Linked DNA regions of Sus scrofa. The protein of the gene in region 1 interacts with the protein of each later gene in a pairwise test. Links are inferred from orthologs where the notes say so. Each region holds a gene or a part of one and is shown on either strand. Other genes may lie near its edges.

What was found. The genes of interacting proteins can lie anywhere in the genome.
Region 2: the proteins of NEDD9 (region 1) and NFKBIA interact in binary tests that used the Homo sapiens proteins (3 or more experiments, as listed by UniProt). The two-hybrid records come from large-scale screens. The link is inferred for Sus scrofa from reciprocal best matches to the Homo sapiens genes NEDD9 and NFKBIA.
Region 3: the proteins of NEDD9 (region 1) and TRIP6 interact in binary tests that used the Homo sapiens proteins (3 or more experiments, as listed by UniProt). The link is inferred for Sus scrofa from reciprocal best matches to the Homo sapiens genes NEDD9 and TRIP6.

The regions. Positions count from the first base shown.
Region 1 is NC_010449.5:7,806,542-7,810,553, reverse strand, and holds the end of NEDD9 (enhancer of filamentation 1), read left to right. Parts: intron 1-1,251; coding exon 1,252-1,761; 3' UTR 1,762-3,512; downstream 3,513-4,012. UniProt on the Homo sapiens protein: Scaffolding protein which plays a central coordinating role for tyrosine-kinase-based signaling related to cell adhesion. As a focal adhesion protein, plays a role in embryonic fibroblast migration.
Region 2 is NC_010449.5:64,506,685-64,510,918, forward strand, and holds NFKBIA (NF-kappa-B inhibitor alpha), read left to right. Parts: upstream 1-1,434; coding exon 1,435-1,661; intron 1,662-1,879; exon of another isoform or gene 1,880-2,229; intron 2,230-2,235; coding exon 2,236-2,344; intron 2,345-2,695; coding exon 2,696-2,906; intron 2,907-3,195; coding exon 3,196-3,284; intron 3,285-3,402; coding exon 3,403-3,663; intron 3,664-4,022; coding exon 4,023-4,070; downstream 4,071-4,234. UniProt on the Homo sapiens protein: Inhibits the activity of dimeric NF-kappa-B/REL complexes by trapping REL (RELA/p65 and NFKB1/p50) dimers in the cytoplasm by masking their nuclear localization signals.
Region 3 is NC_010445.4:8,711,979-8,716,020, forward strand, and holds the start of TRIP6 (thyroid receptor-interacting protein 6), read left to right. Parts: upstream 1-1,242; 5' UTR 1,243-1,401; coding exon 1,402-1,510; intron 1,511-1,802; coding exon 1,803-1,930; intron 1,931-2,022; coding exon 2,023-2,148; intron 2,149-2,435; coding exon 2,436-2,822; intron 2,823-3,118; coding exon 3,119-3,212; intron 3,213-3,320; coding exon 3,321-3,490; intron 3,491-3,976; coding exon 3,977-4,042. Other genes in the region: SLC12A9 (solute carrier family 12 member 9), read left to right, coding at 1-553. UniProt on the Homo sapiens protein: Relays signals from the cell surface to the nucleus to weaken adherens junction and promote actin cytoskeleton reorganization and cell invasiveness. Involved in lysophosphatidic acid-induced cell adhesion and migration.

The DNA of each region.
Region 1 (4,012 bases):
CACAGTAATTCCTAAGAAAACAGAGTCGACAGAAAAGAAAAGCTTGCTGTGCATTTCTTGGGGGAGATGCTGTTAACGCTGCTCAGACTCAGCCCTACGTCAGCAGAAGACTGACTGAGTTCTAAACTCCGGTCACTAACTAGTCCTTACCTGTAAAAGAAGAGTCTCTCCAGAGACGTGGTGCCATAGCTGGAAATTATTATCGTTGCAATTTAAATAACACACCAGCTGGGGGCAGTGCAGAGAGAAGGACGAATGCTAATACTCAGAGAGCCTGACTCAGTGAGGTTTTTTTCCCTTTTGACAGCTCGGGGTGGAGGGTGCTAAGTGTTACGATACAGTCAGCATTCAGATTCCCTTAGAGATATTCTTTTCCATAGTGTACATATATTTATATGCATGTCTTCCCTGTACTGCTGGATAATAACATGTATAAATCTGGACAGAAAGAGTAGGAGACAGGATCGGTCCTTTGTCCAAGTGTCTTGCAGGGACAAAGTCAAGACTTTCCTCCAGAAGGAGTCACCCGTCAGCGAGTGACCTGACAAAGAGATCCCCGCATTTGCTTTCCCCTGCCCCCACTCAGTGCTTGATAAAGCTTTTCATAGAGCCTGCATCACACCCGACACTGCTCTAAGCACTTGGCAACTATTAACTCTTTTAACCATCGTAAAGGTGTAGGTAAAATAGCTGGGCTTAAACCCTGGGCTGCCTTCCAGGCTGAGGGCAGGAGAGATCAACCATCCAACCACAGACGTCAGAACCCACAGATTCCTTAGGGATCATCTTTCTCACCTCTGCCTTTTATTTACTTACTTATTTATTTTTATTATTTATTTTGAGGGCCACACCTGCAGCATATGGAGGTTCCCAGGCTACCAGTCGAATTGGAGCTAGAGCTGCCAGCCTAGGCCACAGTCACAGCCACGCCAGATCTGAGCCATGTCTGCGACCTACACCACAGCTCATGGCAACGCTGGATCTTTAACCCACTGAGCGAGGCCAGGGATCGAACCCGCCTCCTCATGGCTACCAGTGGGATTCGTGTCTGCTGCTGGCCATGGGACCTCCCTCCACGGCTACTTTTCACAGGTTAGGAATGCAGGGCAGCTAGACCCGGCTTAGCATCGAATAGGCCCCTGACTCTGCGCAGGGATGCAAATCCCTGCCTTTTAACGGGGAGCCCTGCTGCGTGTCCATGCCAGCCCCCTGCCGCAGCCTGAAGGCCGTCTGCTCTTTTCCTCCCTGCAGCTGAGTCAGTTCCAGCTGCTGGAACAAGAAATCACCAAGCCCGTGGAGAACGACATGTCCAAGTGGAAGCCCTCCCAGAGCCTCCCCACCGCCAGCAGCGGCGCGGGCGCCCAGGACAGGCAGCTGCTGTGCTTCTACTACGACCAGTGCGAGACCCACTACATCTCGCTGCTCAACGCCATCGACGCGCTCTTCAGCTGCGTCAGCTCCGCGCAGCCGCCGCGCATCTTCGTGGCGCACAGCAAGTTCGTTATCCTCAGCGCGCACAAACTGGTGTTCATCGGGGACACGCTGACGCGGCAGGTGGCCGCCCAGGACATCCGCAACAAAGTCATGAACTCCAGCAACCAGCTCTGCGAGCAGCTCAAGACGATCGTGTTGGCCACCAAGACGGCCGCGCTGCACTACCCCAGCACCCCGGCGCTGCAGGAGATGGTCCACCACGTGACCGACCTGTCCCGCCACGCGCAGCTCTTCAAGCGCTCGCTGCTGGAGATGGCCACGTTCTGAGACGGCCCGGGGGGCAGCGGGCCGCCGCGGACACCTGGACGCGGGCTCTGGTTTTGGTAAAGCGTCTCTATTTTTGTAGATATTTGATACGAAAATGAACTTTTGTTAACATTCTGTGGGTTAGCCAATATTCAGAAATTCAGGGAGCTCCCGGGGAGACTTTCTTTTCTTTGCTTATGCACACACCTGAGCATCTGAGTTGGAGAGTGTACAGAATCTCGTCTGCGTGCGTGGGTAGGACTGTGTCTTCGTGTCCGTTTGTCTCATACATTCCATTAAAAACCAGAAGTAAGACGCACCTTGGGAGGCACCTCCCAATGCTGCTTTTTTTTTTTTTTTCTTTTTCTATGAAACATACCAGCTGATTGTAATTGCTACATGTACTCGTGATTATTCTGAGCCTGTCACTCCCCGGTCTGGGACACATATCTGCAGGTGTTCACTTTCCAGTAAGGTGGCATGGGATGCCTTGTTTCTGTTTTTGAAACCCCTTCCTAATTTGGCCGTCTTGGGCACATTATGGCAAGATGCCTCATGTCTGGCTGAAAAAGCCCTCTGAGAGGGGACGTTGCAGTGAGTATATGCTAATCCAAACTCTGATGTGTTCAGTGCTGAAGGAGTGACGCATGTATTTAGAGGCCACGTCCGCAGTTAGGGCTGGGAGGTGTCAGCACGGACAGGATGCTGTCCCAGTAAAAGGAGAGCACGTGTTTCCCCGGGGCTTTTTGCTCATCGGCCTTCGGGAGTGATTGGGCCAGATTTTCCAGAAGATGTTTTTAGATTTGTAAAAATCATGATTTGCAGCAGGAATTCACAAAGACACGTCCACAAAAAGAAGGATGCTCCCATCTGCCAGTTGTCGGTGGACACCTTTCTGACTCGTGACATTCCCTTAGGTGCTACTACCCCCATCAGCCGAGGGAAGCTGGCCACCTGAACGTCAGAGCCACCAGGCCACATCCTGCTCTAAGGGAACCAGTGCTTGATCCTCTACCCTCCATAAAATGTGCATGTGCAGACTCGACACTCAGAACAGCTGTATGGAACCCATCCAGGCTTTACAGCTGTCTGGCCAATGACCCTGTCTCCAAGCTCGTCACAGCATCCATTCCGCCGTCTGTCCTTGCGTCCTTGCGTACGTGCTGGGGGTTGGCAGCGCGCAAACACCCCACAAGCCACCGGATTCATCATGGGACAAATGATATATTCGCATATCCCTAAGTCAGGAAGAGGATCATCAGTGGTTTATCAGTCCTGTTTCTATTTAATGGTCCTGGTCCAGCCAATTTGAAAATGTTTTGGTTTGCAATATATGCCTTGACTTAATTAAGCTTCCCTGTTTTAAATAGCCAAATCATTGGCACAGGAAGGGATTTAGGAGAGAGGGATGTGTGATCTAAGTGAGATTTAAAAAAAAAAAAATCGGTGATACTTATCATAGAAGGTGCTTTTCAAAACAACCACTGTTGCAGCTCTCAATCCTGCTCTGCCCAAAGAAGTCGTTATAGGACAAGTGTGTGCAGCCAGAGGAAGGGGGTTTGCTGAAAATCAAGGAAGTGGTTGAAAATGTCCTTGTAAATTTCATTGTATAATGTGTATTTCTTGGGAAATGACGGACTTATTCTAAGCTAAGTGGTGACATTTCACATTTTCAAAACCAAAATGTTCGATATGTATTACTCTCTTTCCTATATTGTATGTAGAGACTATTTTTAAATCATTAAATTTTTAGATGTCTGTTTTTATAGGCATTGGGTTTTCTTTTTCTGTGTTTCTTTCTTTGTCACTGAATTAAATGGTAGCGTATTTTGCCACTCCTAATAGAGAGAGTTGAAGTATGGCTGTTTATCAATACTATACATCTGGATTTTTGAGTAAAATTGAGAGCCATTTATTTTTTCATTTTGCACCACTTCAGTGTGTTTGCGTTAGAAGAGAATCCTGGAATTTGTGAACATTACCAAACGCAAATATCTGGAACAGAGCTCCTCTTCACCAGAATGCCTGTGCCTTTACGTGAAGGGTAGGGTGATTTCTGCCATCATCGTAGGGATGTCACTTGTCGTGTGGTTTTAGAATCAAAGGGAATTGCTCAATTCATTCTGAAATGGACATCAAGAAGTATTTACAAGAAAACCGTATATGATGAAAACAAGAGGTTCATAACAACAAATCATTTTTACTGTTTGGTCTGCTCTTTCACTCAGGGATCCTGAGACTTATAAAGTACTTGAGTAATACCTTGAATATA
Region 2 (4,234 bases), about 57 Mb from region 1:
AAGATGATTGCAACAATCACGAGAAATCTCTGCAAAACTATAAAAGCTTCCTGGGGTGCCTTCTGAAAAAGTCTGATCCAAGTTGCTTTATTAGGGCCTGGACCATTTCTAGAAGTAGATGAATGCATTCCTTTCATTGGCTAGGAGGTGGGGATGGGGCAGAGAGCATACTTCTGTTTCTGCAGCTGAGACCTGGACATGGTGAACCTGGAGTAGCTACCCATATGGCATGGACAGGTCCAACTGCTGCCCCCTCCTTTGTCCCCCAAGAAGCCAGCAGGGGCAGGATGAAGGCCACCTTGGGGCTGCCCTGAGCCTCCTGCAGTATGCCTGGCAACTACTTTCTTAGCCATCTTTAAGGCCCAATCTTGGGTAAAATACTACTCAACCCATTCTTTAGCCACCTTCTCCAAATGCTTCTAGAAAGCGGCCCCCACAAGTAGGTTCTCTGCAGCAGCACAGTGCAAATGGAGGAACACGACCTCAGTAATTATTTTGTCACTGCAAAGTATCTACAACCTTTGCTATAAAAATTAACACCTTGCTTTCCCTGAAAAATAGCCCAGTCATATCCAGCATTTTCCAGCATCCAGGGCAGAGTGCTTGCTCCTCCCCCAGTCAACAGGACTGTTCATACCGAGGAAATGATTTGAGGGTTCTCTAAGCATTTACGCTGTTAATGCTAAAGCTTTCACGACTTCTACCTGAGGGGGGCTTGAGGGAGGGGGAGGTTTATGTCCCTGCACTGCCAGGAGCCTGGTCTTTGGTAGGAACGCAGAGGCAGCCGGCGACCTTCCACCCTCAGTGTGTCCTTCCCCAGGAGTTTAGGGAAGTGAATCCCTAGATCCAGCCAACATTTCCACTCCCATTTTCAAGAGATTAAAAAAAAAAAAAAAAAAAAAAAAGGAAAGCATCGGCAGGTCAGCAAACCAGCAGTTCTCCATCCTTGGGATCTTAGCAGCCGACGACCCCAAATCAAATCGATCGTGGGAAACCCCAGGGAAAATAAGGTTCCATGCAGAGGGCCAGGATTACTGACTGCAGGCTGCAGGGAAGTACCGGGGGAGGGGGCCGGGTCGGGAGGACTTTCCAGCCACTCAGCGTGCATTAAAAAGTTCCCTGTACATGACCCCAGTGGCTCATCGCAGGGAGTTTCTCTGATGAACCCGGGCGCGGGGTTTAGGCTTCTTTTTCCCCCAGCAGAGGACGAGGCCAGTTCTCTTTTCTGGTCTGACTGGCTTGGAAATTCCCCGAGCTTGACCCCGCCCAGGAGAAATCCCCTGCCAGCGTTTATAGGGCGCCGCGGCGGCGCTGCCGAGCCCACAACAGTCCGAGGCCATCGTCCCGCCCGCCCGAGCCACCGCGAGCAGCCAGCGCGCCGCGCAGCCTGTGGCCCGCGCACCTAGGGAGCAGCGCCCAAGCCCTCATCGCGCCATGTTCCAGCCCGCAGAGCCCGGCCAGGAGTGGGCCATGGAGGGGCCCCGGGACGCGCTCAAGAAGGAGCGGCTACTGGATGACCGCCACGACAGCGGCCTGGACTCCATGAAGGACGAGGAGTACGAGCAGATGGTGAAGGAGCTGCGCGAGATCCGCCTCGAGCCGCAGGAGGCGCCCCGCGGCGCCGAGCCCTGGAAGCAGCAGCTCACCGAGGACGGAGACTCGTAAGTGTCGCGGGCCCGGGTGGCGGGGCCGGGTGGGGGCGCTGGGCCTGCAGCCGGAGGTGCGGGGCCCGCGCTGCGGCCGCGAATCGGGGTTCGTGCACGGACCCCGAGGCTGTGCAAAGGTGCACGGTTGCGCGTGGGAGCCGGGGATCGGGGATTGGGGCCGTGGTCCCGCGGCTCTACCTTGCAGCCGTGCACACCTCCCACCCCTCACCCACCTTTGCGGGTCCCCTCGGCCGGGGGCGGGGCGGCCACGGGGACGCGAAGTCCCCGCTTGCATAAGGGGGGGCGGGAGTTTCTGCCCCGCTGGCGGGCGGGAGGGGAAGTACAGGGCGTTCCGGCCCGGCGGGAGGGCGGGGCGGTCTGGCCGGCGCCCGCCGCCTGGGGAGGGGGGGGGGGCGGAAAGTCCCTGGGTGCCTGCCAGGAACACTCAGCTCATAATAACCTCGCGGAAAACACCGCGGCCTCGGCCTCCAGAAACCCCGGGCTTGCGCAATCCCCTGCGGGCTGTGCCTCCCTGGGCCCCACGCAGTGCACTCACCAGCCCTGGGGGTTTTCCCTCTCTTCCCCTCAGGTTCCTGCACTTGGCCATCATCCATGAAGAGAAGGCACTGACCATGGAAGTGGTCCGCCAAGTGAAGGGAGATCTGGCTTTTCTTAACTTCCAGAACAACCTGCAGCAGGTGCGCTGCTTGCCCGCCCCGTGCCTCTTGGGTTCTGCCTCTCTGACCCCTTGATGGAGCTGGATCTAGCACAGTTATTTCCAATGATTTCCCAATTAACTGCCCCTAGTCATGATCCGCCCTGAGCTTTTACATCTGAATCAGCCAACATCCTAGAGAGGAAGGAAAAATCCCATTGATTTGGTGAGGCTTTTATGAAGCCCACCTGGGGTCTCCCGTCTGTTTCCTTAACCCCTTGTATCTGTCTGGGAGGAGCGGCACGCACAACCAGGATATCTCTAGGGTTCAAGGGGAACATGGATTGTGGGTTTGATCCATGGCTTATCCTTTCTGTCCCTCTTCTGTTGGTAGACTCCACTCCACTTGGCGGTGATCACCAACCAGCCAGAAATCGCTGAGGCACTTCTGGAAGCTGGCTGTGATCCTGAGCTCCGAGACTTTCGAGGAAATACCCCTCTACACCTTGCCTGTGAGCAGGGCTGCCTGGCCAGTGTGGGAGTCCTGACTCAGCCCCGCGGGACCCAGCACCTCCACTCCATTCTGCAGGCCACCAACTACAATGGTAAGTCTGGCTGCCCTATGCATCAGAGGGCACGTGACACAGACAAGGGAGAGGTGGGCCGACTTAAGGCAAGGTGTAAACTCTCAACACGTGAAAGGCTGAGAAAACATGTATGCATCAAGGTCTTAGTAAAACATGTATGCATTTGATGCCTTACTAAAGTCCATTCAGAACCCAGAGTCTGGGTTCTTCAAATTCAGAAGACCTCCTCCCTTAAAAGAATAGGTGAAAGTTCTGAGAAGTGAGGGTGGCAACAAGTGCTTATATTTTGTTACTTTTGGTACTCTAGGCCACACATGTCTGCACTTAGCCTCGATCCATGGCTACCTGGGCATTGTGGAGCTGTTGGTGTCTTTGGGTGCTGATGTCAACGCTCAGGTGGGTGCTTCAAGCCTACAGATGGAGGGCATTCAGCCCTCAATAAGATCACATGCTCTTGCTGCTAGCAGAAACCTCAGACTCAGCCATAAGCATCTCAAATTCCTTTTGGTTTCAGGAGCCCTGCAATGGCCGAACCGCCCTGCATCTTGCGGTGGACCTGCAGAATCCCGACCTGGTGTCGCTCTTGTTGAAGTGTGGGGCTGATGTCAACAGAGTCACCTACCAGGGCTACTCCCCGTACCAGCTCACCTGGGGCCGCCCAAGCACTCGGATACAGCAGCAGCTGGGCCAGCTGACCCTAGAAAACCTCCAGATGCTTCCAGAGAGCGAGGATGAGGAGAGCTATGACACGGAGTCAGAGTTCACAGAGGATGAGGTGAGTCCCAATGACCTTGTTCACGGGTCTGCAAAAAGCAATGCTCTCGGACCCCTAGAGCTCCTCCTTTTCCTGAGGGTCTCAACATAATGAGGATCTCAAATTAGGGAGCATAAGCAGTGTCCTAAGAGTAGGTTTAGGGGGAGGATTATGGTCTGGGGTTTTCTTTTGCTTTTTTGCTCTTTTTGAAGGAGAGGATCCTTAAAGGAAAACTTCAGCCCAGGAAGTTAATTCAGATTCGGGTTAGAGGGAACGGAGTCCAAGAATACTTGCGTTATTTCCAGTAGCAGCCCTTGCCATCACCCCAGCACCTTTGGCAAAGTTCTGGAAGTTTAACATGCCTTTCTTTCCCCTTTTAGCTGCCCTATGACGACTGCGTGCTTGGAGGCCAGCGCCTGACGTTATGAGCTTTGGAAAGTGTCTAAAAGACCATGGACTTGTACATTTGTACAAAATCAAGAGTTTTATTTTTCTAAAAAAAAAGAAAAAAAGAAAAAAAAAGAAAAAAGGGTATACTTATAACCACACCGCACACTGCCTGGCCTGAAACATTTTGCTCTGGTGGATTAGC
Region 3 (4,042 bases), on another chromosome or scaffold:
GCGGCCCCGGGGTGGACCTGGCTACGTGGACGTCTGCGGCCTCTTCCTGCTGCAGATGGCCACCATCTTGGGCATGGTGCCTGCTTGGCACACTGCCCGCCTCCGGATCTTCTTGTGCCTGGGGCCTCGGGAGGCCCCAGGGGCAGCCGAGGGGCGGCTCCGGGCACTGCTGAGCCAGCTGAGGATCCGGGCAGAGGTGCAGGAGGTTGTGTGGGGTGAGGGGGCTGGGTCCGAGGAGCCTGAGGAGGAGGAGGAGGGGGACTTTGTGAATGGCAGGCGCGGAGACGCAGAGGCAGAGGCCCTGGCACGCAGCGCCAACGCCCTGGTTCGGGCCCAGCAGGGGCGCGGCAGAGGAGGAGGGCCTGGTGGGCCTGAGGGTGGGGATGGCGAGGAAGGGCCCACCACCGCCCTCACGTTCTTGTACCTGCCTCGGCCGCCTGCTGATCCCTCTCGCTACCCTCGCTACCTGGCGCTGCTGGAAATTCTGAGCCATGACCTGGGCCCCACGCTGCTCATTCATGGCATCACCCCTGTCACTTGCACTGATCTCTGATGCCGGTTCCTAGTAGAGAGTGTCCAGGTCGAGTGGCCCACTTTGCTTGGCGGGTTGAGGAGGGGAGGTGCTGCCTCTTGCCCTCCTTGTACTTGGGACTCGGACCCTGGTGGAGGTATTAGGGGAACCTGGTCTTTGGGAGAGGGTCCTCGCTGTGCCCAGGGCAGCTGAGCCGGCGGCCACCACTGGCGAGAAGTCAGCAGCCCTCCCCCACGCTGGCCTCCCTCCCTTCACTGGTGCCTTGACGGGGCTGGGTCTCCGCTTGTGACTCTAGGCTACCTCAGTCTCCCCGCCCCTTGCCCAGTAGACTCCTCACCCTTGAGGTTGTGATGTTTTTGTTCCGTTTTATTTTTCTAACTGCTGAATGTGAATAAAAGACCAAAACACTAGGTGCTGGCCGAGCGTTTCTGGAGGGAGCCGGTAGGGGGGACAGAATGCGGGACGAATCTGTATGCGGGGAGGGGCACTGGAGCATCCCAGCGCAAGGGGGCCACGTGCGGACTTGGGGCACAAGAGCCCCGTGTTAAAGGAGGCTGCCTGAGCCTCCCACCCCCACCCCCCGGGCCCACGCTCTGGAGGAAAGCCGCCCCGGCTCGCAGGAGGGGGCCGACTAGGGGAGGGACGGCAGTTTAGGGCCTAGGGGGCCACGTGACCCTCCCCCAGGAATGCGATGACGTCATCGGGGGCGTGGCCGTCCCCAAAATTGGGGAGGAAGGGGAAAAAAAAAAGCCAGAAAAAGTTTCTGTCCTGGAGTCCCAAGCGAGGTGTCGGGGGGAAGAAGGGGTCAAAGTCAGAGCCCTGGGCTCCGTGGGGCCCTGACCGCTGTCTGGAGTCCCCCATTCCAGACCATGTCCGGGCCCACCTGGCTCCCCCCGAAGCAGCCGGAGCCCGCCAGAGCCCCTCAGGGGAGAGCGCTCCCCCGAGGCGCCTCCGGGCCGCCGCCAGCCCACGGAGCAGGTAAGGCAGCCCCAGTGCGGTGCGGAGGCCACCGGGCCACCAACACTCAACTCTGCCCTGCTGCTCTTGCCTCCCGCTGAGCCTGCCCCTGTCGCCCCTTCCCCAAGCCCGGCTGGAACCCGCCGCGCCCCCGCCCTCGCCCTCTCCCAGCCCTCACTGCCTCCTGCCCCATTCTCGGACCCCAGATGCGGGGGGAGAGGGGTGAAGAGGGACCCAAGACCGGTGGCCTCCACAAGTGTCACCCTCCTCTCCTTCCCCATCCCCACCTTGGCTCTCTCTTCCCTCACCCCAGCACTCCAGTCCCACCCCAGGGTCAATTTTTGCCCCCTCCCATCTGAGCAGTGTTACCAGGCCCCTGGGGGACCGGAGGATCCGGGCCTGGCCTGGGTGGGGTGCCATGGAGCACCCCAACGCTCACAGGTGAGCACCGCGATTAGGGGGTGTGGGGGGGACTTAGGGCAGGAGAAGAGGCCATATGAGTTGCATTCTCCCTGCTTTTGCTCTATCTCCAGGGGCTCCCCCCGGACAGGGGGGCCTTGCGCCCAGGAAGTCTGGATGCTGAGATAGATTCCCTGACCAGCATGTTGGCTGAGTTGGACGGGGGTCGGGGTCACGCCCCACGGCGGCCTGACCGGCAGGTGACTCCCCGCTCCTGTCCCTCCCTGTCCTTGTCCCCCACCCCTCCCCCGCAACCTGGTTCCTGCTCTGTATTCTCACTCCTCTTCTCCCTCCACATGGGGGATGCACCCACCAGCGAGGAGGAAGCTGGGCCACCAAAACGTACTAGGTTGCCAGCCACTCAAGGACGGGCCCTTGTCAAAACCAGTGCTTACCTGGGTGCCACAGACACAGGGTTCAGGGGTTCCACAGATGTGTGTTCTGGATTGGGCCCAGCTCATGCCTTCTGGTCTGTGCTTCTCTCCAGGCTTATGAGCCCCATCAGCTCCCTGCCTACCGCTCAGGCCCTGGCTCCCTGAAGCCGAATGGAGGGAGTGTTCCTCCCACACCACTCCCAGCGGCCTCCTATGGCGGCCCCACGCCGGCCTCCTATGCTACGGCCAGCACCCCCGCCGGCCCTGCCTTCCCTGTGCAAGTGAAGGTGGCACAACCAGTGAGAGGCTGTGGCCCCCCCAGGCGGGGGGCCCCTCAGGCCTCGGGGCCCCTCCCCGGCCCCCACTTTCCTCTCCCAGGCCGAGGTGAAGTCTGGGGGGCTGGCTACAGGAGCCACCGTGAGCCAGGGCCAGGGGGTAAAGAGGAGGCTGCCGGAGTCTCCGGCCCTCCGGGAGGAAGAGGAGGCGGGTACGGGCCCCAGGTAAGCCCTGGGCCCTGGGATTTGGGGTCCTCAAAGACAGTTGGATGCTGACTGGGTGGGGTGGGGGTGGGGGTTGATGTTCCAGTTTTCAAGCTCTGGATTCCCTGGGGGCGGGGGGCAGGTCAGGAAATAAAGGAGGGAGGGGACTAGATCTGCACACTGGCTCCCAGAGGCACACCCCTGGCCCCTGGGCTGGGGTGTTCTCCTGTGAGCTTTTGGGTGGAATTGCCTGATCACTCTCGGTGACAGTATTGGGAGGGAGAGGTAGGATTGAACCCCTGATTCTCACCTCCCAGGTCCCCCTGAGCCAGCCTCCCGAGGAGGAACTTGAGAGGCTGACCAAGAAGCTGGTGCAGGACATGAACCACCCGCCCAGTGGGGAGTACTTCGGTGAGCTGCCCCCCGCCACACACCCCGGGCAGGGGGTGGGGGGAGGTCAGGTAGACAGTGGGTCTGGCTTCCCAGTCTATGGTTGACCCTGACCCATCCCGTCCCCAGGCCGGTGTGGTGGCTGCGGAGAAGATGTGGTTGGGGATGGGGCCGGGGTTGTGGCCCTGGACCGTGTCTTTCACGTTGGCTGCTTTGTCTGTTCTACGTGCCGGGCCCATCTCCGGGGCCAGCATTTCTATGCCGTGGAGAGGAGAGCGTATTGTGAGAGCTGCTATGTGGTGAGTGGTGGGGGCTGGCGGGGGGTGGTGGCAGATGGAGTCAGCAGCAGGAAGCAGGGGGCTTCCATCCAGAGTGGGAACTAGGTGTCCAAGCCCCAAAGAATAAGGCTCGAAGCAGGAGAACTAAAACTAATAAAGAAAAAGGCATGGATGAAATAAGTAGCTGTATACTGGTTGCTGGAGAGAAAGGACAACATTCCCCTGTAAGAGTGAGGCATTTATTTTCGGTTTAGGGGAATGTGCTGAATCCCCACAATGCCCTGGTGAGGCAGCTGTTACTCCTGAAGGAAACTGAAGGTCTGAGAGCTTAAATATCTTGTCTGGGGAAGCTGCAGTGCTAGGATTTGCACGCATACCTGTTCAAGGCCACCTTTAACTGAATCACATGCAGGGGGCTACATAAATAGGTGGGGGAGCTGGCAGGATGCCTGTAAGGGCTGCCATGGGTCACCCCAGCCCTGACCTTCCTGCTCTCCTTCCTGACAGGCCACCCTGGAGAAGTGCTCCACCTGTTCCCAGCCCATCCTGGACCGGATTCTGCGGGCCATGGGG